Notamacropus eugenii: one gene and its partners. The protein of the gene in region 3 interacts with the protein of the main gene of each other region in a pairwise test. Links are inferred from orthologs where the notes say so. Each region holds a gene or a part of one and is shown on either strand. Other genes may lie near its edges.

Region 1 (7,573 bases), on a different chromosome or scaffold from region 3:
TCACCAAAATGTCAATAGTGTAGAATGTTGATTATTTTTCCATTTCTGCTAGATAAACAGCATAATTACCCTTCTCTCTCCTCTCTTTCTTATTTGTATCTGGTTAATTATAGTATGCTCCTTATTCCACTAGTCTGTTTGAGAACTTGAGCACTTTGAGGGTAGAAATTGGGTCTAATCCAATCTTTTGAGATACCCAGTGATTGATTAATGAATGGTGTCACCAACCTACTCTGGAGTTGTATTCTATAAAGTAAGAATGCACAGTGTTTTAGAACTCTGAAAATACTCAGTGTTCAAGAACCCCAGGGTTCTTTCTGTCCCTTCCACATTCTGCAGCCCAGGGGGTGTCACTTGCCCTTGAGCCTTTCTGAATCTGCAAGGTAAGACTGGCCCTTTTTGTCCAGTTCCTGGGCATGTTGTTAGGAGGAATGCTTTGAAGTCATAAGACTAGGGATAGAAGTAACACTACATTCTTTTCTACAACCTTTCATCTCCTGGCACTTAATTGTCACAAGCATTAATTAAGGGTGTATGCCACTCCTGGTAGGAAAGAGGATGTTATCCTATTCTGCTGACAGGGAAACTGAGGCATAGTGATGGTAAATGGTTTATCAAAGCACTGTCAGACTTGCTGGTAAAGGATTCTATGTCAGTGGAGCCATGGTGTATTCTCTCACTTATTACCAGAATCTTTCTGTGGTTCTGGGAAGAAGATCTTTGGGGTAGGGGATGGAGATGGGGTAGAGGAAGTACTCTACAAACCCAGAGCACTTACCATATTCAGTGCCCTGTACTGACTACTTCAGTGAGAGATAGATGTTTGAGGCCTAGTTTCCGGACTTTCCAGGGCTTACAGTCTATTGGGGAAAAAGACATATACATGACTATAGTACAAAACAGAACTTGATAAGTATATGAGATTAAAAACATCTGAGATATTCTAGAGAAGAGGCATAATACAAATCCAATGGAAGGAGCATTTGTTACTAGGAATATAAAATCAAAATTGATATTACTGGAGAGATATAACATGCACACATATACACATAATACGAGGTGGGCAGTGATGGGAACAAAGGTGAGATTAAGACAGCTGCTCTAGGAAGGTTTTGAGGAGGGCAAAATTTTTTAGCTCAGCCTAAAATGCTACATAAAGAAGGCTACCTGGGTGGAGCCTTGAATAAAGATAAAGATTCTAAAATACGAGATTAGGAGGAAGAACGTTCTAAGCATTTGGAGGTAGGAGGAGGGTAGGAGTTGGGGTAGGCTGGGGTGCGGATGATCACTGAGAATTCACAGAGGGAGAAGACGTGATAAGTTTGGGAATCCAGCTCTCATGGCTCAGTTTATTTGAATTGGAGAGTGAACTAAAGGGTGAAATGAGGCTGAAAAGGTAATTGGGAGGTAGAAGTTGCCAGGGTTGTGGAGGAAACTGAAGTTTAAGAGTTTATTAAGTTCATAGAGTTTAAGAGTTCATTAACCAAGCCTTGGCCAACCTGCTGGGGATCAATCAACCTTTTCACATTTTACTAGGCTGGTTCTTGGACAGAAAAAATAGTCTATTCCTGGAACATCATAATAACAAAAGCTATTTATTTAGGACTTTTAAGGTTTTGCCAAGCCATTGACTTACATTGTCTCATTAAGTATTACTATTACCCCCATTTTACAGAGGAGGAATTGAGTCTCAAAGAAAGGTAATGACTTGACTTTCTCACATTTGTCCCATATAAGTGACACAGCTAGTCAGTAACAAAGATAGGATTTGAACCCCCACTCCTGGTCCTGTGCTTTTTCTGTTGTTTGACCCTATGCAGATTGATAAAACCAGGGCTCTTCTGTGCTTTCTTTTTTGAATTGTTTTATTTATTTATTTTTAGTTAACTAGCATTTTTTTTTCTCCCTCTGATGGCCCCCTCTTACCTGGGGGAAAAAAAGAAAGAAAAACAAAACCTGTGTAAGATATATATAGTGAAGCAAAGCAAATCCCTCCATTGGCCATTTCCAAAGATGTGTTTCTCATTCTACATCTTGAGGGAGGTAGCAAGGAGCAAGGGTAGCAAGTTTTATCATTGGCTCCCTGGAATCACATCTAATTATTTAATCAATCATAATGCCTTTCAAAAAAATTTTTTTTTTTTTTACAATATTGTTGCTGCATACATTTTCTCCTGGTTGTGCTCACTTCATTTTTGTATCAGTTCACATAATAATGACAGTAGCAGCTAACACTTATATGGTGCTTTGTGCCAGGCACAGTGCTAACTCCTTACAAATATTATCTGATTTATTCTCACAACAACCCTGAGAGGTATGTGTGATTAATAACCTTCTTTTACAGTTGAGGAAACTGAGGCAAGAGAAGTTAAATGACTTGCCCAGGGTCACATAGCTAGTAAGCACCTGATGTCAAATTTGAAGTCAAATTTGAAGACTTCCTAACTGTAGATACTCCTAGCATTCTATCCACTATATCACCTAGATATCTCCATAATTCTTCCCAGGTTTCTCTGAAATAGTCCCTTTCATTATTTCTTACAGCACAAGAGTATTCCATCATATTCATATACCACAATTTGTTTATCTATTGCCCAATTAATGGTGACCCCCTAAGCTTCTAGTTCTTTGACACCATAAAAAGGGCTGCTATATATATTTTTGGACATACAGGACTTTCCCCTCCTTTTTTGATCTACAGGCATGTTTTTTGAGAATCAAGGGCCACATGAGATAGAAGCAAATACAAAATGCTCTGTTTAGCATTCAAAGCCTTTCATAACTTAGCCCCATACCTACTTTTCCAGTACTTAGACCTTACTATTTGACACATATTTTTTGATCCAGCGACACTACCTCTGAGATGTTCCATGAACCAGATATTCCACCTCTCAGCTCTGGGCATTTGCTCTGGCTGTGTCCTTCATGCTTGGACCATTCTCCTTCCTCCACTCCAACTACTCACCTCTCTAGCTTCCTTCATGTCCCATGTCCCAATCTCACCTTCTACTGGAAGCCTTCTCCAGCCCTTCTTAATTCCAGTGTTTTCTCTCTGTTAATTATTTCTTAATTATCTTGGATACAGGTTTTTTTCCATATATTTCTATCTTGTCTCCCCCATTAATAATGACTCTAAGCTCCTTGAGGACAGGCACTGTCTTTTTGCATCCCCAGCACTTAGCACTGTGCCTGTCACATAGCAGGGGCATGTTTATTGAACTGAAATGGTGACGGTAGTAGTAGTGGTGGTGATATTTAGACAGCTAAGCAGTTTGGTGTATAGAATTCTGAGCCTGGAGTCAGAAAGTCCTTAACTCAAATCCCATCACAGACACATAGTACAAGCTGAGTTCAAATCCAACTTCAGACATAAGCTGCGTTTCCTCAGCTGGAAAATAGGCATAATAATAGTACCTACCTCCCAGGGTTGGATCAAATAAAATAAAAATGTTTAAAAATTTTTTATTTTCCTCAATAATATTTTATTTTTTCCAATTACATGTAAAGGTAGTTTTCAACATTTACTTTTAAATTCCAATTTTTTTTTCTCCCTTCCTCCCTACCCTCCACACCCACTACATGACTGAAAAAAATGTGACAGAGGCTATACATGAACAATCCTATTAAACATTTCCACACGAGTCATGTTGGGAAAGAAGAATCAGAACAAAAGGGAAAAACCATGAGGAAAGAAAAAAACCAGAAAATAGCATGCTTGGATCTGCATTCAGACTCCCTGGTTCTTTCTCTAAACGTGACAGCATTTTCCATCACGAGTCTTTTGGAGCTGTCTCAGATCCTTGCGTACCAGAGCTGACCAGGGCACTCACTGTAGAGCGCTTGGCATAGCGCCTGGCACAACAGAACACGCGCTGTGTAAATGGTAACCCTACACGTGGGGCCGGAGGCTGAAGGATCATCTTCCCTCACACATTACCTAGTTGTGTGACCCCAGGGCAAGTCCCCTAACCCTGGCTGCCTCAGTTTCCTCTTCTGTAAAATGAGCCGGAGAAGGAAATGCCAAACCCCCCAACGGGGTCACGAGGCGTCAGACGCGACTGAACAACATACACGAGGGTGGTGATGCTAACAATGGCTCCTTCCGTGGGTCTGAGGAGAAGGAAGGGGACGCCAAGCGCGGAGGGCTCCGAGCCCAAGGGCGGGGGACACACCGACCTGGGGTAGGCGAGGCACAGAGCGAGGGCACCCAGCTTCATTCATAAAGCCGACTCTCCAAAAGTCACCTAGCAACCAAGGCAGCGCGGAGTTCGAAGGGAACCCAGGAACCAATCGGGGCATCCGGGGTGAACCATTTCGCTCACTGTAGGGGGGAACTTATATCCCAAATAACCCTTTCTCTTGTCTTTCGGCTTGACAGACTTGGGAGATCCAGCAGAAGAAAAAGTCCGACAAATTGGAGTTTAGCCATAGGAGAGAAAAACGACATTGAGTAGGCCCCGCCGTCCCGGAAGGAGGGGGGAGACGATCCACATTTCCCCCTCGACTGCGGCCTGGAGGCATTGGGAGCGGCCGGTCTCCATTGGGATCCCGGGGCGGGGCGGGGAGGAGGGGCGGGGCAGTTCCGGTGTGCTTGCTGGGGAGCCGCGGGAGCGCCGAGGACCTCCTGAGGGCGTCGCTGCGGGCCCCTCGGCGGGTGGCACGTGAGTGTGGGGGCTTGGTCCGAGTGAACTCGAGGGAGCCCCGCTTGGCATCGCGGGGTGCGGCCTGGCTGGCCTCCCAGCTCCGCTGCTTCTCGCCTGGTCGATGACAATGGGCAGGTTCCCTTCCTCTCCCTTCATCCCTAAAAGTGGGGGGTGGGGCCGAAGCATCTCTTACCTCCTCACATCATAGGGTCGCGTTCATGAGATGTGGAGGGATCCTACCTTGTGTGGCCGCAGAGCCCCCCATTCTCGCCCCCCCATTGACCCGGGGGCTTGCCTGCGCTCCCACAAGCACGAGGGACCTTGACTGGCTGCATGTTCTCTTACCCCGCCTCCCATTTGTAAGGGGTTCTTGGAGGTCATCTGCGTGTGCCGAGAGAGGAGCCTTGTGCTTGCAGCGCCCGCCCTCCCTCCTTCCTTCCTCTCCTCCTTCCTCCCTCCCTCCCTTCCTTCCTTCCTTCCTTCCTTCCTTCCTTCCTTCCTTCCTTCCTTCCTTCCTTCCTTCCTCTCCTCCTTCATTCCTTCTTCTTTCCTTTATTCTCTTCCTTCCTTTCTTTGCTTCCTTCCCTTTTCCTTCCTCCCTCCCTCCCTCCCTTCCTTCCTTCCTTCCTCTCCTCCTTCATTCCTTCTTCTTTCCTTTATTCTCTTCCTTCCTTTCTTTCCTTCCTTCCCTTTTCCTTCCTCCCTCCCTCCCTCCCTCCCTCCCTTCCTTCCTTCCTCCCTCCCTCTCTCCCTTCCTCCCTTCCTTCCTTCCTTCCTTCCTTCCTTCCTTCCTTCCTTCCCTCCTTCCTTCCTTCCTTCCCTTCTCTCTTTTTCTCTTTCTCTCTTTTTCCTAACATTTACAGCTGCCCAGCAAGGGAATAGATTGGGCAGCCTTCAAGTCAATGCACAATTATGAAATATCTCTTATGTGCGGGTACTTAGGTGATACAGTGGATAGAGGGCTGTCCCTGGACTCAGGAAAACTTGAGTTCATATGTGGCCTCATACACTTCTGAGTTATAATAACTTTGGCAAGTTCTTTTGCACCCCAAAATCAAAACACCAAACTGCATTTTGCCTCAGTTTCCTCATCTGTAAAATGGAAATAATAATAGTACCTATCTTCCAGGTTTATTGTGAAGATCAAATGAGATGATAAGTGTAAATAGTTTACCACAGTGTCTGGCATGTACTAAGTGCTACATAAATGTTAGCTATCATCATTTTATTTGTAATTACATGCGAGGCACTATTATGGCTATGTATTTTTAAAATATATATATATATATTTTTAGTTTTCAACATTCACTTCATGGCTATGTCTTAAGGAACTAAGGATACAGAGATAAAAATGAATCAGTCTCTGCACTTAAGGAATTTTAAGTTCTGCTGGGAGGATATAGCATGTAACCAGATCTGTAAAATACAAAGTCTACAAAGTAATTTCAAGAGATAGTGCTAATAGATGAGAGGATCAGGAAAAGACTTATGTGTGAAGCAGCATCTAAAGCTGTGCTTTGAAGGGAAGTACAGCTTCTGCCAGGTAAAGGAGAGGAGGGTGTTCATTACTTCTCTGTTGGAGTGAAGCATGTTCAAAAAGCCACTGAATGGGAAAGGGAATATATGGGGATAACTAGCAGGTCAGTTTGGCTGGAACAGAGCATGTGACAGAGTGGTATGACATGAAACTTGGAAGGAAGATGGGGACCACGATGTAAATGGCTTTACATACCTGGCCAAGCATTTCTTATTTTATCCCGAAGGCAGTGAGGAATAATTAAAGATTTTTGAGGATGGAGCTAATATGGATAGACCTTTTCTTAATAATATCAATTTGGCAGTTTTGTGGGATATGAATTATAGAAGAAAGAGGCTGGAGTTAGCAGGAGGAAATTCTAGCCTTTCAGGGGAGAGTTCATTTGGGTTAGAACTAGGGTAGAGGCAATGTGAGTAGAGAGAAGAGAACATCTATGAGATGGATGGAGATAGGATTTCAGCACGACTTGGCAACTGATTAGATAAATGAGTTGGGGGAGGTTAGAGGGGCCAAGAATGACTACAAAGTTATGCACTTGAGTGATTGGAAGGATAGATAGTACTAGTCAAGTCAAATGAGCATTTATTAAAACATCTGCAATGTGCCAGAAAGGTAGGAAACAGTCTCTGCTCTCAGAGAGCTCACAGTCCGTCAGGGGAGACAACATGTCAATAACCATATACACAATTTATAAACAGGATAAACTGGGGAGAATCTTAGAGGGCAGACATTAAGATTAAGGAGGCCTAAAAAAGGCTTTTTGCAGAAAGTGGGTTTTTTTCTTGTATTTGAAGTAAACCAGGAAGGGGAGATGAAGAGGGAGAAAATTCCAGGCATGGCAGACAGCTAGTGAGAATGATTGTAGTTGGGGTGATGGAATGTCTTATGTTAGAAATAGCAAAGAGACCAGTGTCACTGGCTTACAAATGTGTGGAGGGCAGAGGAAGGTGTAAGTAGACTGGAAAAGTAGATAGGGACCAGGTTATGCAGGGCTTTAAAAACCAAGGAGATGATTTTATCTTTGCAAGTAAGATGAAAGTTGTGTTTTGGACATGCTAAATTTTAGATGTCTAGAATATCCAGGTGGTGATATCCAGCAGGAAGTTGATAATACAGAACTTCAGTACAAGGCAGAGATGAAGGCTGAATGTATGGATTGGGACAAAAATGCTTAGAGATAATTGAACTCAGAGTAGTTAATGAGATTAACAAAGAAGAGACTAGGTTCCTAGTGGACATGTATGTTTAGCAGGCAAAAGGAAAAGGAGCTCTAACAAACGTGACTGAGAAGCAGTAATACAAATGAGAGCAGAATTGGGTAGAGCACTGTCATAGAAGCCAAGGAAGAAGAGACTACCCAGAAGGAGGGTGTGGTTGTTTCAGATTCTTTGTG
Region 2 (7,062 bases), on a different chromosome or scaffold from region 3:
GGCTTAACAAGGATTCAGCTGAAAGAGCTTGGGACCAGTGTGACCCCAGCTCGGCCCCTCATCCTGCAGCCTGGGCCAAGTAACTTCCCTCTCTCAGTCTCAGTAAGATGGGATATTGAATTAGAAGATCTCAAAGGTCCCCTTTGGCTTTCAAGCTATAATCCCACTCTCCTATGAACATCATAGACCTGGAAGTCTCTAACGAGGAAGAGATAGACCCAGTGGCTTGGAAAAAGCCCCCTCCTCCCATTTCTCCATCTTCCCTCTGTCTGGTCACAGTATGGATGTCCACAGGGGCTGAAGATGGGACCTGAGAGCTGGCAGACCCCAGAGACCACCAAGTCCCACCAGTCTCCTCATTTTAGAGAAGAGGAAACGAAAGCTATACATTCAGTTACAGAACAGAGCCAAGACTAAGAACCCAGGGGAAGGGTAGGCCCTGAGCCCTGTCCTGGAGCCCCGGCCTGCTGCCCCCAGGCCCACTTACAGTGTAGGCCTTGCTCTTGCTGCTCAGAATCTTGGAGATGCCAAAGTCACCAATCTTAACAATCATCCGATGTTTGTCCAGGAGAATGTTCTGGGTCTTGAGGTCTCGGTGGAGGATAAGGTGGGTGTGCACATGGTGCAGGGCCAGCAGGATCTGAACAAAGAAGTGTAGGATGGTCTCCTCGTCCAGGAGGGAGTTACAACGCTTCTGGATGTACTCGGCCAACGTGCCCCCTGTGGGCAGAGAAGGGCATGAGGCCATCCCCTGGTGCGCCTGCATCCTAGAGCCCCTGAATGGCACACAGCCTCACCTTCTCCCTGGGCCAGGGAGAAGTCACAGAATGTCCCTGCTAGGAGGAGGGACCTTAGGGACCTTAGTGACTGACCCTTCCCCTGACAAAGGAGGAAACCGAGGCCTCAAAGGGAAAGGATTTTCCCAACACCACCAAAGCAAGGACAGAAGCAGAGCTCGGCCTCCCATCTGGGGCTCTTTCCAAGCCCGGGCAGGGCACCCCCAAAAGAGCCCAACGTGGGCAGGGCCCCAACCTGGGGCATACTCCATGGCGATCATGAGAGCCTTATCCTCCAAGAAGTTCTCGTAGTACTCGATCACGTTGGGGTGGTTCAGCAGCTTGAGCACCTGGCACTCATTCTGGGCAGCCAGCCGCTCGTCCTTGGTCATCTGCTCCACCGGGATCTGCTTGATGATCACCAGTTTCTGGTCGGCCTTCCGAAGGCACAGGTGCACAATCCTGAAAAGCCCAGGGGTACAGGGCTTGGCATACAGTAGATGCTTAATGAAGGCTGACTGACTGATTAAAAGGAAGACTTAGAGGCAGGGTGCCAGGAGAGCAGGAGACGAAGGAGCATCTACAGCAGGGGTGGGGGGAACCAGCTGCTTCGAGGCCCCATGTGGCCCTCTAGGTCCTCAAATGTGGCCTTTTGACTGAGTCCAAGTTTTGCAGAACAAATCCTTTAATGAAGAAGACTTGTTCTATGAAGTCTGGTTCCAAAGGGCTGCACTTAAGGACCTAGAAAGCCACACGAGGCCTCGAGGTCGCACCCACTCGTACTCTTGTCCTCATCTAGAACCACTCATCCCATTTTACAGATAAGGAAACTGAGGCTTCCCCCCCCAAAAAAAGTTAGGGTGACATCAAAACTGAGAGCAGGGTCATCTAGACCACCCAATCCATTTAAGGGCCCCAGAGACTTAGTGACGACTAGTGATCACATAGCAAGTTAGTGCCAGAGGTGGGGGTGGAACCCAAGCCCTTGAGTCCACTCCAGGTGCCATAGCCCAGGTGCCAAAGGGGAAGGGTAGCTGGAGCTGGGAATGGGGCTGTGAGAAAGGCGTGGCCAGAATGAGGGCGTGGACCAAAGAGGTCTATTTGTCGGGGGCGGGGCTCCAGGGCCCGCCCGGTTGTGGGTGGGAACCAGGGGGCGGAAGTGGGGGCGGGACTTCCGAGAGTTGGAGAGGAGCCCATGGGGGCCAGGCTGGCGCTGCCAGGCCCGGTGGATCCGAGCTGGGTGTGTTTGTTCTTTCCTCCTCGATTGTGTCCTACCGCCCTCGCTCTCTCCCCCTCACCCGCCCACGGCCCGTGCCCTGCCTCACCCGAAGGCGCCTCTCCCCACCACCCGGATCCGCTCGTACTTCTCCATGGCATGGCAGCGCTTCCGGGAGCCGCTACGGCTGCCGCGGGGGGGAAAAAAGACTCTTAACCACGCATGCGCCGACTCCTCCGCCGGTCCGCGTGCGCCCCGCTCCCGGCTGGGGAAGGGCGCTGCTCCTGGCCGGGGGCCGCCCCCATCCCGAATCGCCTTCACTCCCTCCCTTCTCCTCTACACCCGCCCCTCCCCCCCAGGCACTTGGAGGTGATATTGGCTGAACTGATCCTCCCCTTTTAGGTCGAGAAACTGAGACCCAGAGAGCTGGAGTGAGCTGACAAGTGTTGGAGCAGAGGCTCTCCGCGCAGCCTGGCAGGCTCCCTGCCACGCATGCCTGGCATCGCCTGCGGAGGCTCCCCGTGCAGTCCGGGATCACACCTGGCCCCCTTGCCCCCTTTCCAGCCCTGGAGTGGAGCTGCGCATTCGCCGGCCCTGCTCTCCCCGTCTGGGGGTCCTCCCCTCCCCCGGGTCTTGGGGTCCTCCCGCATCTCCCCCTCCTTTCCAGTGTCAGCCAGAGTCCCACCTTCTGCCTTTGAAAAGCCTTTCCCAGTCAGTCCTCCTTGGACGCTGTTCTCCCCTTGTTGATGCCGGTGTTTGCGCATCCTCTCCTCCCTTAGAATATAAGCTGCTTGAGGTCAACGACTCTTCCTTTGTTTTATCCTCAGTCCTTAGCACAGAACCTGGCACATAGGAAGCCATTAAGAAATGCTTGCCAAGTGTCTGTTCTTTCATTTCCCCCACCCAGGATCCCTCCCTTCCAACGCTCTCCCAGCTCAGAAACCCCCACTCCCTTCTCCACCTTCTCCCCATCCTGGTGTAGTGAAACCTCCAGCCCTTAGCGGCCGTGTTACCACGCATTACCTCTTTTTCTCATAAATGTGAATTCTAAGGACCAGTACCTTTTAGTTCAATGGGAGATTAATAAGCAGCAAACTTTAAAACACACACAAATATACTGTTTGTTAAGTTGTTTTCAATCTTGCCTGACTTCATGACGTCATTTGGAGTTTTCTTGGCAAAGATACTGGAGTGGTTTGCAATTTTCTTCTCTAGGTCATTTTACAGATGAGAAAACTGAGGCAAACAGGGTGAAATGACTTGCCCAAGGTCACTTAGTGTCTGAGGCCGGATTTAAACTCAGGAAGCTGAGTCTTCCTGACTCCAGGCCTGGTGCTCTATCCACTGCCCCACCTAGCTTCCCTTTATATATACATGCATGTCAATTATTATTCTATCCCAGGCACAGTTGTAGAAACTGGACTGTGGTTTCCTGATTACTCCCTCTAGAGTCTTAAAGGAAGCCAGAGAGGTGGAGATGAGGAGGGAGAACATTCCAGCCATGAAGTACAGCCAGAAAAAATGCCCATAGGGTCATTGTAGAGAAGAGTAGGTGGAGGAGGGGAGGAGGTGTAAAGAAGACTGAACTGGAGAGGGGATAACGTTGAATTCCAAACGCAGCATTCTGTATTTGATCCTGGAGGCAACTGGTAGATGGGAAAGTTTCTTGGGGTGGGGGGGACATAGTCTGACCAGTGCTTTAGAAAAATCACTTTAGTGAATGAGGAATGGTTGGAGTGGGGAGAGACTTGAGACCTGCAGACCCACCAACAGATGTACAATGATCAGGGTCTGCACTACAGTGGCAGCAGTGACAGAAGAGAAATCGAGGAGTGTTTGGGAGATGGTACAAAGGTGGAATCAACAGACCTTGGCACCATCTTGGATATGGAGGGGAGAGAATGAAGAGTCCAGGATGACTGCTAAGTTGAGAGCCCAAGGGACTAAGAGGATGGTGTTGCCCTCTGGTTGGTTGTTGTCCTTTGTTCTTGAAGAGGACCAAAATGACAGCACCATGATAAAGTAAAGTTTCAATGTGTTGGACTGTGACTGATCAGACTAACATGAGCTCACAATGCTCTCCCACAGGTTGGACATAGATAGTCCATATGAATATTTGGGGTAGATACTCCAAATTTGCGTATCCTACGTTTACTTTGTGCTGTCTCAATTCTGCTTTGCTCCTAGGGCACAGTACCCTTTCTGATGTGGGCACCCCATCCTGAGTGGTCCTGGGCCTCCCATGTTGCACAGTCAAATCCAAAGTTCTTGAGAATGTCCTTGTATCGCTTCTTCTGACCAAAATGAGATCACCTGCCCCAGGTGAGTTCTCCATAAAATAGTCTTTTTGGCAAGCATACATCTTGCATTTGAACAACATGGTCAGCCCATTGGAGTTGTGCTCTCTGAAGCATAGTTTGAATACTTGGCAGAATCAGCTGGAGCAAGTACTTCAGTGTCTGGTACCTTATCCTGCCAGGTGATCCTCAGAATCTTCCTAAGACAGTTCAAATGGAAGAGATTCAGTTTCCTGGCATGGCGCTGGTAGATTGTCCGTGTTTCACAGGCATACAACAATGAGGTCAGCACAATAACTCTGTAGACCTTCAGTTTGGTAGTCAGTCTAATACTTCTTCTCTCCCAAACTTTTCTTCAGAGCCTCCCAAACACTGAGCTAGCTCTGGCAATGTGTGTGTCAACCTCATAGTCAATATGTACATCCCTGGAAAGTACACTACCAAGGTAAGGGAACTCATCCACAGCATTCAAAACTTCTCCATTTGTTGTAGCATTTTTCCACGTATGGATGGTATGTGGTGGTAGCTGATGGAGCACCTGTTTTTGGCCTAATTTTGTTGCCTTTTACAGTAATGGGGAAGGTAGAGAGGGAAGGATTTGGGGAAAAGATAAACACTGAGTTTAAAATGTCTACTGGACATCCAGTCTGAGATGTCTGAATGGCAGTTGGAGTTCAGCAGAGAAGTTGGGACACAGATTAGCACTGAGATGCTAACTGAATATATGGGAGCTGAGGAGATAACCAAGTGAAGTCTTATAAAGGCAGAAGAGAAGACAGAGCACTGTGGGATACTAAATTTAGAGAGTTTGACCTGGATGAGGATCCGGTGAAGGAGACTGAGAGTCAAGAGAGAAGGGTGTTTGGAAGACCTAGAGACAGAAGGTAGCAAGGAGGACAGGGTGATCATTGGTGTCAAAGGTCGCAGAGATGTCAAGGAGAATGAGGACTAGGAGAAGGCCACGGGATTTGGTAGTTGAGAGATCACTGGTGTCTTTGGTAAAATGGCAACTCTGGAAAGAGCAGTTTCAGTGGAATGAAAAGGTCCAAAGCTGGATGGTAAAGGGTTATGAAGAGAGTGAGAGGAAAGAAAGCAGAGATACCTATTGTAGATGGCCGTTTATTGCTAAGGAGTTAGAAGGATCAGGTGAGTGTTTTCGAAGAATGGAGGAGACATGGCCATGATTGTAGGCAGTAGGGAAAGAACTAGGAGATGGGGAGAGAATGAAAATAAGTGTTTGAGTGGGGATGACCAAGGCATAATCTGTAGGAGGAGACCAGATGGAACAGGATCCTGATTACACAGGTGAGATGGGTTAGTGAGACAACCTAGGAGTCATCCTGGGCTCCTCCCTCTTGCTTACCCCTCACATCCAAACTGTTGCCAAGACCTGCAGATTTCACTTTTGTAACATCTCTCGAATTTGCCCCCTTCTTTCCTCTGTCACTGCCCCTACTCAGGTACTGGCCCTCCTCCCCAAACACCTGGACTGCTGTAATATCCTGCTGGTGGGTCTGCCTGCCTCGAGTCTCTTCCCATTTCAATCCATCTTCCATAAAGCCTCCAAAGTGATTTTCCTAAAGCTCAGGTTGGATTATGTCACCCCACTCCCTACTCAAGAAACTCCAAGGCTCCCTGTCACTTCCAGGAGCAAAGCAGAATACTCTGACATTCAAAGCTCCCCACTTCCTTTCTAGTTTTCTCATTCTTCAATCCCCAGCAGCATTCCTCCATACTGATGTCCTGGCTGTTCCTCCATCTCTCAGCTCCAGGAATTTTCACTGGCTGTCCCCTAGGCCTGGAATGCTCTCCCTTCTCCGTTCCAACTACTGAACTCTCTGGCTTCCTCTAGTTCCCCACTAAAATCCTTCTTTTATTGGAAGCCCTCTGTTACTAATTTATTATTTTGTAGCTTGTTTTGTCTACATGTGTTTGCATGTTGTCTGCCCCATTAAATTGTAATCTCCTTGAGGCCAGGAACTGTCTTTTGCGTTTTTTTTTTAAATCTCCAGCCTTTAGTATTGTGTCTGACACATAGAAGATGCTTAATAAATGTTTATTGATTGATTGAGACAGAGGTGAAAGAAAAGATAACGGCAGAAGGCATCTGAGTGATATGAGGAAGAGAGAAGAGGGGCCTCATGGTGCACGCCCAACATTGTGTCTATAATGTGTGGGTCAAGGTTCTCAACTGGGCAGGGAGAGGGAGGGGAAGCCATGGGAGGTTTGAGGGAGGATGAAAAAGATGGGAAAAGTCATGTAGTCGGAGGGAAAGTGAGTTGATAAAGGAGGTGTAGAAAGATTCCCTAGAAGCAGTGAGGACTCATTTAAGGTCGTGTAGTGGACCCAGCTAGAACAGTTGAATGATTTCCTCTAATTAAATTTGCCTCAGGAATATAAGGCAGTGTCTGGGCACCAGTATTTCAGACATGTCATACTCACCTCTCTAACTTGGCCATAGGGGTAGGATTCAGGGATCTGCACAATGCCATTCTCTGAATCTCTGTCCTCTTTCTACCACTTGATAATCAAATCCATATTATGTGTCAAAGATTGTGCCAACTTACAGCGCTGTGGCCCCACTTGGAAACCGTGGGATCTGAGTTTTAGGCCGCCTTGCCCAAAACTTCCTTCCCTGGCCCAGTCTCCAGCTCTCTCATACCTCTCCTGTTCCTCTCTTGTCTCCATGTCCTTCTAGGGTGCCCTCTGGAACCCAGTTCTATTATATTTTATTGCTACTATTGATGTATTTTGTTTCAAATTACTTTGATTT
Region 3 (7,158 bases):
TATTTTGTTGTTGTTCAGTTGTTTTTTCATCATTTCCAACTCTGTGATCCCATTTGGGGTTTTCTCAGCAAAAATAATATGGTTTGCCATTTCCTTCTCCAGCTCATTTTACAGATGAGGAAACTGAGGTTAAGTGACTTGTCCGGGGTCACATAGCTACTGAGTGTCTTAGACCACATTTGAACTCAGGTCCTCCTGACTCCAAGCCCAGTCCTCTATCTACTATGCCACCCAGTTAGCCTCAAAGCTATACAAAAGAATAGGATGTTGATATTAAAACAATGGAACTTTTTTTCAGGAAGAATCTTGGAGTTATTAAAGTAGCTTTGTAATCTCCTGAAGACAATCCAACCAGGTCTCCTTCCGTTTAATTCTGGTCCATTTGTACTGTCTGTCCCAGACAGACATACTGACAGACTAGTGCTATAGGTTGTCCATTCAACTAATTTCATAATCTGGGCAATAGAAATTTTTCATCTACTTGGTCTTTCTTTAGATAGACTAAACTCTTGAGATAGTTAGTGACATGTGACACAAAAGTACATATCCCATTCCCCTCCCCCCCCAAAAAAAGATTTGTTGTGGGATTTTTTCTCATTATAGCTTAAAAGTGTTGAGAAATTTTACATCTCTAGGAAGGAACTAAGTTAACCATCTAATCAATTCTGGCCTAAGGTGAGTTAGAAGCCAATGTCAACTATTTCCCATCTATGAATACCAGTCTTTCTGTGGAAAGGAATGTAAGCTTAAAGATAGGGACTGTTTTTCACTTTATAACCCCTATTTCTTTCACATAATAAACACAAAATAATGCTTGTTGAATTGAATTAATGTCTCCAGGGAAGAAGCACCATCTCTGCATGTATAGTGTGACCAAGACTACTATTCTTACCTCTGTTTCTCCTTCTATGATATTCTCCTTGCCTGACATTCACTCCTATACCACTTTTACCTTTCTTATGTTTCTCCTTTACCTTAACATTCTTTTCCACCTCCTTTTTGCCAATTCAAATCTCATACTTTAAGGCCTAACTTGAGGATCACTTCTTTCAAGAAATCTCAAATTAACCCCACCTTGAAGTGACTGTATTTTGAATCCCTACAGTATTTATCTTCAGTTTCTACCACAGTATGGGGACTTGTGTGATTTGGAATTATTTTCAAATTAATTATTTTCAAAAGATTGCATATTCCTTAGCCACAACGATTGTCATTTCCTCTGAATTATACAATAGTACTTATGTGGGGCCACATTCTGGGAAATATTTAATAAATAACTGCTATATTTAGTTAAAGCTGGTTTTTCTGCTTTCCTCACTTTGACACTGAATTGAAAGATCCCTATGAGTGTCATGTGAGTACTTATTACCTCTGCCTACACAGATTGCACCCCTTCACTGTTGAATTTCTTGCCTGATAAATTCATCCCCTGGTGGCCAACCTCATAGTGATGATCTCTTAACTCTTAAGATAGGTTGGTTCTTGGAGGTTTGACACACTACTTCCTCAAAGCCTTTCCAGCTTGCCAAGACCCAGGTTTACATCCCACTAATGTAACCTTTGAAAAGTCAGGGTCACCTTTATAGTAGGGTGAAATATCAAAGCTGAATTTTCATGTACTTCTTCAAATCTTCCTAAATGTCCAGTTCAGTAAGTAGTTCAAAATGTTATAAATTAAATCTTCCCAAATTCCTTATAACTTCATATACCAAGATGTCTACCCACAATATTTGGAAAGATAACTGAATTAGGAAAATGTAATCACCCATCCCAAAGGGGCCCTCACCTCCATGAAGGTTTTTTCATTGAGTTGCCCTCTACTTGAAGAAGCATGGGCATTTATATCTTTGACTCAGATAGGGCAGCAAAACAACAGGCTGGAGACTTGGTGGTTCACTAGAGAATGACAATTGGAAAGACTCAGTAGCTATAGGGCCAAAGAAGAATAAGGATGGGAGGGGGTGGGGATCTTGCAAGTTCCGTGACAGTTAGTCAGTTGATGTGACCATAGCTTGCTCCCAGAGAAGGAGGTACTGGTTGAAGTTTGTTTTTCTCCACACTGCTCATTTTTACCTAAGGTGGGACATGATATTATTGTTAACAGATCCCATGCCCCTGAATCTCTCCTGTTCTATGGAAGAAGAAATTAGTTGAGAGAACTGGCTGATCCCCATTTTCCTCAAAATCATAATATGAAAGGCATTAGAGAGACCAGCTAAATAGTTAACAAAGTTGCTGTATTTCAACATAGCACCCCATTTTTCTCCTTCACAGGTTCTTTAGTCCAGAGAAGACACCAGAGGGAGAAACAGTGTATCTCAGGGCTCAAGGAAATTAGGATAGAGAAGTCCCAATTCACCTAACATTGTGACTTTATTCAGCCAGTTAGAGAATGGAAGGCTGTGGTTATGAGGGATTTGATGTTGGATTATACTGCCTACCAAGGAAACTCAATTTTAGTTTACCTAAGTAAACAAACCAAGTGTGTCTGCTAAATATTTATCAAAACTTAAACTCCTGTTAGTTTTGTTCAGTGTTAGTGTCTTCACGTTACTCTTTTTGGCACTGGAGAAAAGGGAAGTCTATACTTGTGATTTCATTAGTGTAGGGTATTCCCTGCATTGAAACCCTCTCCACCGATGTAGATCAGCAGTTATTTTAAAACTTTTAAAAGTCTTCTAGCATTGCCTCAAGTCTGAGAGGGGAAGTGAGTTATTCAGTCCCACACCTGTGTCAGGCAGGTCTTAACCAAGTCTTCCGATTCCCAGGCCAATGCTCTTAATCTACTATACTACACTGCTGGTCTTGAATCTCGATTTTACAAATGAAGGTAGATTTTGTTTTTCATCCAAGAATATTTCCTGATGTAATAATCTTTAAACAGTGTGGTTTGGGGTTGGTTTGTTGTTTGAGGAAGTGTATTTCTTACATATGTTTCTGTTGGCTTCTTACTTGATGCTTTTGTTGGCATCTAACCATTCTTTGTAAGCTTTGAAAGTGTGAATAAAGGCCACATAAAAATCTTTTTTTCTTGAAATATGTGACTTCATTGTTTAACATGATTACACATGTATAAGCTATGTCAGATTGCTTACCATCTCAGGGAAGAGGGAGAGAGAAAAAATTGGAACTCAATCTTGTAAAAAATGAAGGTTGAAAAACTATCTTTACATGTAAAAATTGAAAAAAAATAAAATATTATTTAAAAAAGAAATCTGTGATATCATCAGTACAGGGAACTCCCAGTTGAGGAAACTGCTCCGAGGCAATTCGAATCAGCAATTGTTTTAAAACATAATCTTAGAGTGCCTGAGGCAGTTACAGGTTAAAGTTACAGTTACAGTTAAAGTGATTTGTTCAGGTTCAAGTATAGCCCCAGAGCACCGTCACTACAGCTCTAATTGACCATACCTACAACTTCTATCCCCACAGGGGCTTGTGGTGAGAATCAAATGAGATAAAGTCTTTTATAAAGCACTATTTAAACCTGAAGCCACTATACAATGTCAAGATACTGATCGAATGATTTGATACTAAAAAAAAAAAAAAATCTCTTGGGCTAAAGCCAAAAGCTTCTAACCATTTCCTAAAGACATCTTCCTGTTCCTGTGTGTTCTCTCACCGCTTGGATTTGGCTTTTCTATTTTGGGCAGGGAAAAGAATTGTCATCAAATTTACATTCTAGGAAATACCCAACTTCTGACCAGTGCATAAATGCACTGAGAGACTCACTGATGTGAAAGAGAACAGGAAACTGAGGTCTGCATCTGCTGCTCAGGAGAAAGCATTTTAAGTCCATTCTCCTGTGAGGAGCAGTTAAGGACATCAGTGGCTTACCTTGCCCTTGAGTCTATGGTTTGCATGTAGGATTGGACCACTAAGACCTCTCAAACTACAGTTGTTCAATCATTTTTTTTCAGTCCTAACCGACTCTCTGTGACCCCATTTGGGGTTTTCTTAGCAAAGATACTGGAGTGGTTGGTTTGCCATTTCCTTCTCCAACTGATTTTACAGATGAGGCAACTGTGGCAAACAAGATTCAATGACTTGCCCAGGGTCACATAGCTAATAAGTGTCTGAGGCCAGATTTGAATTCAGGAAGATGAGTCTTCCTAACTCCAGGTGTTCTACCCTCTGCACCCACCTAGTTGCCCCAAACTACAGTACTGTATTATAATCCCATTGTAAAGCTGCCCATCATTTTGATTTAAGTGAGAAACTTACACACCCAGTTCAGTTGTTTTATTCAATAGAACATGCCCATCAACAGCAAAATTTAGGTAAGCATATTTTGGGGCTTTCCTTTTTAAATTTAGATTTAATAATACAAAAATTACTGCCAATATGCTATTTCTTACTGACTTTTTGATAGAGGAAAGGTTCAGGACTCCCAGAAGGATGTTCACATACTGAATATTCTGGTCATTTCAGACCTCAGATCCTTACTAAATGCTTGTTAGGTTATTGATTGACTGGGATCTAGCAGTTACACTAGGAGCGAAGGCTGTGCTCTATTATTGGTTAAAAAGCGCCTAGTGATACTGATAACATTATATTCAAATTATCGTATAAAATTCCAAACATAGAAGCAGTCAAGAGTTTGAGATTCTGAGCATCAGTGAGTTTATCAGCCAGTTTTAGATGTTTATAGAATGTAACGTAGCTAATTAATCTGCACGAAGAAGTAACAATAATTCAGGACTTACAAAGGGAACTATTCCTCATCTCTCAAAGCTGTGCATTCCATAGTGTCTAAATACCTACATATTCATTAATACTTGCATGGAAGGTAAACAAAGTGAAAAGTCAAAGGAAAGAAGACTTTGCAATTACACACCTACTCAAATTAAATTTAGCTAAATTAAAACCAAATTCCAAATTTCATGAAAATACATTTTAGCATGTTTCCATTTCAGGCCAGACTTCTTGAAGCCTAAGGAAAAAGAAAAAAATCAATTATTCTATCAAATAAGCACTTATTAAACACCTACTATGTGCTGGGCCCTTTGCTAAGTACTAGGGATCCAACTGAATCACAACTGTCTACTTGTGAGGAGCTTATACTCTAATAGAACTGGATAAGCATATCTACATGCAAACATATATATTTCTATTCACTATATTTCTGCTACATATACATATATGTACATATGTACATCATAATAGCACTTCCTTTTTTTTATTTACCCATTATGATTTAATTTCTACAATACTTCATTAAAGGATGGAGTTCAATGATTTCTACTCAAAAGTCAGGACACAATCAAGTATAATCAGAGTTGGTCTGACTTCTCTGCACTCAGAATCATACGAAGTCTTTTGCTTTAGAGAAATGAACAAAAAAAATTAACCAGAAAGTGCTAGAAAACTGACAGAAAGACAACCATCCATGAAAATTATTGATATTAATGTGTCATGAAAAATGACTGATCCTGTGTAAAAGTTAAATGAGCAGGATTTTTTTTACAGACAATTTTTCTTATAAACAATAAAATATAACATTTTTCAGATTGAAAGGACCTCTACTGACAATGTGTGTGTGTGTGTGTGTGTGTATGCATATATGTATATGTAACACAAACATAAAGGGAATAAAATAAAATAAGTAATTAAATACAAGGTAGGTTGGAAGGGACAATACTAACAGGTTGGAAGGGACAATACTAACAGATGAGGGATCAAGAAAGTCTTCATGGAGAATAAGAGTTTGTAACCTTTTTTACATCATGAACCCCTTTAGCAGTTTAATAAAGTCTACTGGCCCCTTCTCAGAATAAGGTTTTTAAATGGATAAAATAAAACACATAAGATTTCAAAGGAAACTGAAATAAAGATGTATCTTTATTTCCTACCCAAGTTCGAAGACGCTTATGAAATCTATTCCCTTTTTAGAGAAGACAATGATTGAGCTGCATCTTGAAGAGGGTTATCCTCAATGAGGTAAGGAAAGAGTGCTTTCCAGGCACAAAGACCAAGAAGTGGGAGATGGAGGAAGGGACAGAAAAGAAGACCAGTTTAGCTAGTCCAAAGAGCATGCCACAGGGAATAAGGTACAGTGAGGCTGAGGTTTTAAGAGTTTTAAAACAGTCCTAAAAACTGAATAGAGATGTTTCTCTTGCATCCTAGAATCAACAGGAAGTTAGCAGTGTCGAGCAGGCAAGTTCTGCCCGGTCGTAACTCTAGAGTTGTTCAGTCTCAGCTTCTACTTCAAATTAGTTACCATCTGCAAAAGATCCAGCTCTTTGGAGCCATAGATAGCATTTAATAATAATGAGGATAATTAGCAATTAGCATCTGTAAAATCTTTTACAAATATTTTCTCATTTAGTCCTCAACCCGGAAAGGCTGGTACAGTTACTATCTCAACCTACAGATGAGGAAACTGAGGCAGATAAAGGTGAAGTGATTTGCCCAGGGTCACATAGCTAATAAGACAGGATTTGAGCCCAGGTCTTCTGACTCCAGGTCCAGCATAGTATCCACTGTGCCACTTAGCTGCCTCACATAAAGTCACTATCAGGATACTGCATTTGATGACAGGATATCGTTCGATTCTAACTAGCCTAGGATCCTAATGTGAACTGTAAGTTTAACTGGCAAATGGTATCTTCCATCTCTGTGCCTTTGTACTGGCTGAATCACATGCTTGGCATGCATTCCTTCCTTTCACTTCACAGAGGTCCTCTCTTCCTTTAAAATTCAACTCAACCACCATCTTCTTCATAATGGATTTTTAATCTGTGGTCTGTGGATAGATTTTAAGGGAGTCTGTGAACTTGTACAGAAAAAAAGATACTGAAATGAGAGGAAAAAAATACAAAAACCTCCAGATATCCAAAGTCAACAACTGACCCTTCATTAGGCGTGTTAGTTGTTTTCTGCATCTGTAAAAGAGATGAGAGAAAAAATTCATTATGCTTTAATTTGAAGAAATTAAAGATGAACATCATGGGCAGTACTGAGGGAACTCTATTACTCCAGTCTGGAGGTAGCTCAGAGAGGATGCAGTCATGGCTATCCACTTGGGGTGGGGGTGGAGGATGGGGGAAATAATTCAGAGGTAGGCTTTCTGTAAGATTCCCATAAATCAGACTCAAAAATTCATATTATACATGGGAATATCAAAGATCTGAGAGAGACACAGACCACCTCTCTGAC
Region 4 (7,014 bases), on a different chromosome or scaffold from region 3:
TTTCTCATGGTTTCTCCCATTCGTTTTAATTCTTCTATGCAACATGACTAATGTGAAAATGTGTTTAATAGGAATGTATGTGTAGAGCCCATATCAAATTGCATGCTGTCTTGGGAAGGGGGGAGGGAGGGGGAGAAAATGTGGAATTTATGGAAGTTGAAAACTGAAAACAAATTAGTAACTGTGGGGGGGAAAAGAAAGGAAAAGCTTGTTCCCTCCTCTCTTCCTGAGGGTCCTGGCACCAGCCCTCCAATGCCTCCCCTACAGCCCAGGCACAATCCACACCAGGCAGCTGAGCAAGGTGGGACCAGCCTTGGTGCCCTCCGGCGTCACCTCCCTTCCCAGCCTGGGAACAGTTATGTGTCCTAAGTCTAGGGAGGGCACCAACAAATCCGGCTCAGTCATTTCTAAACAGAGCATACTAGGGAAGGAAAAAAGAGAAGGGAGTGGACAAGCAGGGAGAAGGAAGGAGGGGGAGGGAGGGAAGAGACGGAAAGGGAAGGAGGGAGGGGAGAGGAGAAGGGAAGGAGAAAGAAAGGGAGAGGGAGGGAAGGGGCTGGAGAGGAAGGAGAGGGGGAGGAGAGAAAGGGGAGGGGAGAGGGAAAAGGAAGGAAGGAGAGAGGAGGAGAGGAGAGGGAAAGGGAAGGAGGAGGGAAGGTGAGGGAGAGAAAGGAGGGGGAGAAGAGAGGGGAAGTGAGGGAGAGAAAAGTGAGGGAGAAAGAGGGAAGGTAGAAGGAAGGAGGGGGAGAAGGGAGTGAGAAGGAAGGAGGAGGGAACAAGAGGGGAGGGGAGGGGAGAGAAAAGGCAGATGGGATGAGAGGAAGAAGGAAGGAAAGGGGAGATGGGAGGTGAGGGGTGGGAAGGAGATGGGAGGGAGAAGGAAGCAGGGGAACAGGAGGGGAGGGAGGAGGAGAGTGAGAAGGAAGGGGGGAGGTAGGGGAGGGCAAGAAGGGGCTGAGACAGGTTGTACCTAGCGGTCCAGCAGCGGAGAACAAAGAGGCAGGGAAACAGCCCTGGGGCTGCCCATTCACCCCAGAGAAGGGCTAAGTGAAGACCTGTGATTGGGCCTAGAAAGGGGCAGGGCGGGGCGTATGCCTCCAAGACTAAAGTGTAGGAGACGAAGACGAAAACCAGTTAGCCTCCGGGGCTGAGGGACCCCAAAAAACATCAAAGCAAATGCCCTGGGGGGTCAGTTCAGTCACCCCGCACAGTGGGCAGCTAGCCAAACTCAACTCCACTCAATAAACATTTACTAAGTGCCTAGGAAGAGAGAGGCTTTCAGAGACACAAAGAGGCAGAAAACAGTCCTTCCCATCAAGAAGTTCACAACCTGCTGGAGAAAGATCATGCAAACAACCAGGTACAAAGCAAGCCACAGACAGGATAAACGGGAAATAAGAGAAGGGAAGGAAGGCACTGGAATTAAGGGGGGTTGGGATTTTAGTTGGGACTTAAAGGAAACCAGGGAGGTCAGGAGTCCTCGGAAAGAAGGAGAGTGAAGGCATGGAGGACAGCCAGGGAGAATGTCGAGAGCCCAGAGATGGAGGATCTTGTTCATGAAACGGCCAGGTGGCCTGGGCCACTGGATCCAAGAGGACGTGTCAGGGAGTGAGGTGTGAGAAGGTTAGAAAGAGAAGGGAGAGACAGATGACGAAGGACTGAGTGCCAGGGAAGCATATGGTATTTTTTCCCGGAGGTAGAGGAAAGAAACCACTGGGGTTTGTGGAACAGAGGGGTGACATAGTCAGGCTCATGTTTTAGGAAAATTAGTGTCTGAATTGGGAAAGGCTTGAAACAGGAAGACACCGTCCCCCGCCGCCCCCGCCCCCCGCAAGCAGCAGCAGCTAAAGCAATAGTCCAGGCAGCGGGGATGGCGGAGGGATGGACAGGGTTAGAGCAAAGAAAAAGCGGCATTTTTGAAATCCTGGAGAGAGTAAGGGAGGTGAAATTGACCACAGAAGTAGCAGTAGTTAAATCGACCAGACCCAGCAAGGAGGTGAAATCGACCAGAGACGTCTGGGAGGTGAAATCGACCAGAGAGACGTCTGGGAGGTGAAATCGACCAGGGACGTCTGGGTAGTGAAATCCACCGGGGACTTCTGGGAGGTGAAATCGACCAGGGACGTCTGGGTGGTGAAATCGACCAGAGAGACGTCTGGGAGGTGAAATCGACCAGAGAGACGTCTGGGAGGTGAAATCGACCAGAGAGACGTCTGGGAGGTGAAATCGACCAGGGACGTCTGGGAGGTGAAATCGACTAGACTGCAAGGAGGTGAAATCCACCGGGGACGTCTGGGAGGTGAAAGCGCCCACAGAAGGAGGCAAAGGAGGTGAAACGCACAGGTCTTGGCACCATATTGTATACTTGGGTGCCCAGAGTGACTCCTGGTTGGGAGCCCGGAGGTGCCAAAGGCAGAAATGAAGCCGTCCTCGGGGGCCCCGAGCCCCCTCCAAGCTGGATGGAATGCGCCCCAGCCCCGCACCCCGCGCCCGAGCTGCGCCCGGCTCCTCACCTGCCGGTGGTTGTAGATCTCGCCGTTGTAGCACAGCCACAGGGAGGGGAACTTCTGCAGGCGCAGGGGCTGCATGCCGGACACCGGGTCCACCACGGCCAGCCGGTGGAAGCCGAAGCAGCAGTTGGTGAAGCCGCGCACGTTCTCGAAGCGGAAGGCGTCGGGGCCCCGGTGGGCGATCCTCATGGCGCTCAGGCACTGCGCTGGCAGGCCCTCGTCGCTGCCGAACAGCGCCCAGATGCCGCACATGGCGGGGCCTCAGTTTACCCCGCGGACGGGGCTCCTCCAGACCGCGCCAGGGATGTGAGCCGCAGCCGGGACGGCGAGGAGCGGACGGAGGGGAGGGGCGGGGCGGGGCGGGGCCGCCCCTCCTTCGCTCTCAGGCCCCCACCCCCTTCTCCACCCTGTTCTCCCCTCCCCACTGCTGCCCAGATGCGTCTGATGCAACGCCGGGGCCCACGTGGAGGAGACTGCGAGAGAGCGGGCTTCCGGCAAGGGGAGATGACGTCAGCGCCCTCCCAGGAGGCGCTCCGGCGTGGCCGGAAGTGAGGGTAGGCCGTCGAGAGGCCACTTCCGCCATGAGCCTAGGGTCCGAGGCAAAGTGTCTCTGGTAGGTCTCCAGTGGAATGCCACAGGGCTCAGTACTGAGCTCCGGGCAGTGTGCCACGTTGGCCTCGGCTTGGCCGAGGAGGGCTGACCCAGCTCGTAACCCTTGGGTGGAATAATCACCTTAATAATAGAAGGGGCGGGGCTATCCCTTCGAGAAGAGCTCTGGGGGTCCTAGTGGACCACAAGCACAGAGGTGTTCACGGACCTGGGCGGAGCGAGGAGGACCCAGAGCCCTAGAGTCACTTTGGGTTGCAGTAGATGTTTAAGGAGAGGCCCCCAGTGGACCCCACCTGACCTGGAGGACCGAGGATCATCCTGGGAGGGTCTGATGCCTGAAGAGAAGAAGGCTGGGGGCGGGGAAGAAAACGGGGAAGAGGCCACCAGCAGCCCCAGATCTGGGCTTGTTACCGGGAGATCGCTGAGAGCTGTCCAGCTGCTGAAACGGGAGCTGCCCAGCGGTGGCAGAGGTGGAAGCAGCTGCATACACCTCCGAGTCCTGCTCCTCCGCCTCGCCCTCCCTGGGGGTCTTGAGGCAGAGGCTGGACACCCCCACCCCCTCCCCCTCCCCCCCTCCCCCTCCCCCTCCTCCCTGAGGGTCTAGAGGCAGAGGCTGGACACACCCACCCCCCCCTCCCCCTCCTCCCTGGGGGTCTTGAGGAAGACCCTCCCCCACCTTCAGTGAGGGAGAACCTTCTTTGCATGTAGATTGGTTCTGGCAGCTGCCTGACCCCTCCAGTCCCAGATTCTGGAACTCCACCTCTGTAGCTTCTGGACCCTCCCCCAGGGACAGCTGCCTGTTGCTGGGCATATCCTGGAGGGCAAGGACTGCTGCTTCTTCTGTCCCGGTACCCATCTTCCATCCTAGCGATGCCCCTGACTCATAGTAGGTGTTTAATAGATGGTTTTGCACCGGATGGAAGTCACTCAGCTCCCTGGAGGAGGAGGCCACAGCGATTGCTGAGTGTTTCCAGTTCCTGATGCATAGTTACAGCTGACCACACCCCTCTCTTGACAGCACCATGATCTATCTCCATGCTAGAGCTGAGCAAACAGGCCCCTTTTAAATGACACCCGCCAAACGTCCAGGCTGAGATTCGAAGCCAGGCCCCTCGGCCTCTAAGCCCAGGAGCACTCTATTTCTGCCTCGAGGAGAAGGTCCTCAGCCTTCCACCGTCAGGTGGATCAGGGTGCCTTCATTCAAGTACTGACAAGGTTTGTGTTGAGGAGAGAGCCCCGTGGCCCTCTGCTAGAGACTTCCTTCCAAGCGGGGTACATCACTAGGCCCAGCCAAAGGAGACTCATGGAAGTGTTTCCACCCTCTCTTAGCGTGCAGACCCCAAGCTCCCTGTTCATTCGGGCCCATCCCTTTACGTGTTTCTCTTCCACCTTTACAATCCCCTGGGCCTGGTCTCCTGTCTCCAAATGCTTTGGAACCTGTTTTCACTTCTCACTTGAATGTCAGCCCAGGCCTGGGCTTCCTGGCCTCTGTCACAAAGTCTAAGCTGGAGCAGTCCCTTCTCCCTGGGCTGCCCGTCCACCCCCATTACAAAGTCTAAACCAGGGGTCTCTTCTCCCCAGAGTCCCCTCATTTTGACCCTAGAAAGCAGTTTCCCCTGTTTGTTGGAAAATGGCTTTGGCAGCCTGGTAAAGGCTGGCTCGAGAAAAGAATAAGCTAGTGTGGCTTCTGACAGCTCAGGTTGGGCCAGACTAACCGGTTATGGGCTGAGGAAATGTTCCCTCCCCCAGGAGCTGGCCTCAGACAAATCATCTTCGAATGACTGTGATTGTGACTGTGGAAGAGGTGGGGGCTCAAGGGGCAGCAAAGGGGAGGGGCCCTCAGAGCCCACAGAACAGGCATTAATGCCCCAAGGCCACTTTGGGAGGAGGGTACCAAGGCAGTGCCCCAGTGCTGCCATTCTGGATGTCCTCATCACGTGGAGCAGCCCCAAGCAAACAGGAACAATTGCCCCTTCCTCCTGGATAGGACTTTCCTTTGGGCAGCATCTCTCTGGGTCTCTAGGCAGCTGGGTGGGGTAGTAGGTAGGGCACTGGACCTGGAGTCAGGAAGACGAGTTCAAATCTGCCCTCAGACATTTATTAGCCATGTAGCCCTAGGTAGGTCACTGTCTTCTTCGGTTTCCTCAAATGTAAAATGGGATGACAATAACATCACATACCTTCCAGGGCTATTGAGAGGATCCAATGAAATACTATTTGGAAAGTGCTTAGCACAGTACCATGCATAGTGAGGATTTAGCAGATGCTTCTTCCTTCTGGCCAACACTTTCCCTGTGCTTCTTCCTTAGAAGCAGGCAGGATCCTTAGGGGAGCTGGGTCCTGACACCCAAGCCTCTTTTCTCATGACACCATTGACAAGCCAGTTGTGCCCAGGTCCAGATTCACATGACTTGATCTTTCCTCTGCTTTGGGAGTGAATCACAGAATTTGCATATAGCCAGGCTCTGGACTTAATTTCTTAGCATACATGTACACAAGCAGGTCAAGTCAATGGAGCTCTGATGCCTTCATCTCCCCTCAGGGTTTTAGGACTATTGCTGAGGAGTTAGGGTGATTCTGTTGTTATGGACTTGAGACCCTTTTAGGTATGTTCTCCTCAATATCAGTTGCCAAAGATTGGTGCCCAATTTCATTTAAAAAATTATTTTATTTTCACAATAACTTGTAAAAACAATACCATTTTCAAAAAAAAATTTGGAGTCCTAAATTCTCTTCCTCTCTCCCCTCTCCCCTCATTGAGAAGGCAAGCAATCTGATATAGTATGGACACGTGCAATCAGGCAAAAATATTTCTGTAATAGTCATGTCGTGAAAGAAAACACAGATCAACAAACGAACAAGAAAAGAGTCTGCTTCAATCTGCTTTCAGACTCCATCAGTTCTCTCTCTGGAGGTGGAGAGCATTTTGCATCCTCTGTCCCTTCAGAATTGTCTTAGACCTTGCATAGCTGAGAGGAGCTAAGTCTCTCCTAGCTGATCATTGTTACAATGTTGCTGTTACTGTGTACAGTGTTCCCCTCGTTCTGCTCACTTCACTCTGCATCAGTTCGTGGAAATCCAGGTTTTTCGAAGAGCGTCCTGCTCATCATTTCTCATAGCACAGTGGTATTCCATCACAAGCATACGTCACAAGCCCAATTTCATTTAAACAAGTAACATCAACCAGTTTTCTCAGAGGGATTCTTGCTAGAAGAGATAACAGAAGGACAAACACTTCTCCCCAGACCTGGGCATACACTGTTCCCTGAGCCATTTTAAGCTCTGGCAAGAGTGGGCAGTTTCTCCAAAGTGTTTACCTTGCCAAGTTCACTTCTGAGTGCAAATAGCACATAGACAAGTCCCCATCTCAGCTCCTCCTGTGCTGGGTGGAGCAGGGCTCTCCTCAGGCCTGGGCTGCTACCTCACCCACACTGAACCTTGGAGAGATCCTAGCCTGGGCTGGATTCCCATACCTCTGGCACCTGCTACTCTAGCCTTTGAAAGCTCATCCACTTGGAGCCATTTCTGCAAAACTCCTTCTCTAAAAGCAAAAGCAAATTGCTACAAGAGAAAAGCGATGGCAGGCCCCTGGGCCCTTATCTCCCCAACTTTCGAAGCAGAGCGGGGGCAGTGGAGAGGCAACCCTGAGTTGTAACTTTGAAGAGCTGACTGAACCTTCCAGGAGCACCAAGATAAGAATCCCTGGCATTTCCATAGAACAAAGCTGAGTGAGGTCACTGGAACCTCACAACCAGCCCTTGAGGAGGCTCTGGCAGTATGATCACTCCCATTTTACAGAGGAGGAGACTGAGGTTCCAAGAGGTAACAGAGAGGTAGTTGAGACCTGAAAGGGACCTTAGAAATGATCTCGTCCCCCTCCCTTAAGCTAGTGCCC

Evidence for each region.
Region 1: the proteins of TRIM69 (region 3) and FAM110A interact in binary tests that used the Homo sapiens proteins (3 or more experiments, as listed by UniProt). The two-hybrid records come from large-scale screens. The link is inferred for Notamacropus eugenii from reciprocal best matches to the Homo sapiens genes TRIM69 and FAM110A.
Region 2: the proteins of TRIM69 (region 3) and NEK8 interact in binary tests that used the Homo sapiens proteins (3 or more experiments, as listed by UniProt). The two-hybrid records come from large-scale screens. The link is inferred for Notamacropus eugenii from reciprocal best matches to the Homo sapiens genes TRIM69 and NEK8.
Region 4: the proteins of TRIM69 (region 3) and ASNS interact in binary tests that used the Homo sapiens proteins (3 or more experiments, as listed by UniProt). The two-hybrid records come from large-scale screens. The link is inferred for Notamacropus eugenii from reciprocal best matches to the Homo sapiens genes TRIM69 and ASNS.

Annotation. Positions count from the first base shown.
Region 1 is NC_092872.1:432,452,759-432,460,331, forward strand, and holds the start of FAM110A (protein FAM110A), read left to right. Parts: upstream 1-4,568; 5' UTR 4,569-4,661; intron 4,662-7,573.
Region 2 is NC_092873.1:36,139,214-36,146,275, reverse strand, and holds the start of NEK8 (serine/threonine-protein kinase Nek8), read right to left. Parts: upstream 3,013-7,062; coding exon 2,678-3,012; exon of another isoform or gene 2,395-2,677; intron 2,180-2,394; coding exon 2,102-2,179; intron 2,017-2,101; exon of another isoform or gene 1,904-2,016; intron 1,239-1,903; coding exon 1,033-1,238; intron 721-1,032; coding exon 488-720; intron 1-487. UniProt on the Homo sapiens protein: Required for renal tubular integrity. May regulate local cytoskeletal structure in kidney tubule epithelial cells. May regulate ciliary biogenesis through targeting of proteins to the cilia.
Region 3 is NC_092878.1:53,186,604-53,193,761, forward strand, and holds the start of TRIM69 (E3 ubiquitin-protein ligase TRIM69), read right to left. Parts: upstream 3,025-7,158; 5' UTR 1,793-3,024; coding exon 1,787-1,792; intron 1-1,786. Other genes in the region: B2M (beta-2-microglobulin), read right to left, coding at 6,868-6,884.
Region 4 is NC_092874.1:1,918,304-1,925,317, forward strand, and holds the start of ASNS (asparagine synthetase [glutamine-hydrolyzing]), read right to left. Parts: upstream 3,003-7,014; 5' UTR 2,763-3,002; coding exon 2,514-2,762; intron 1-2,513.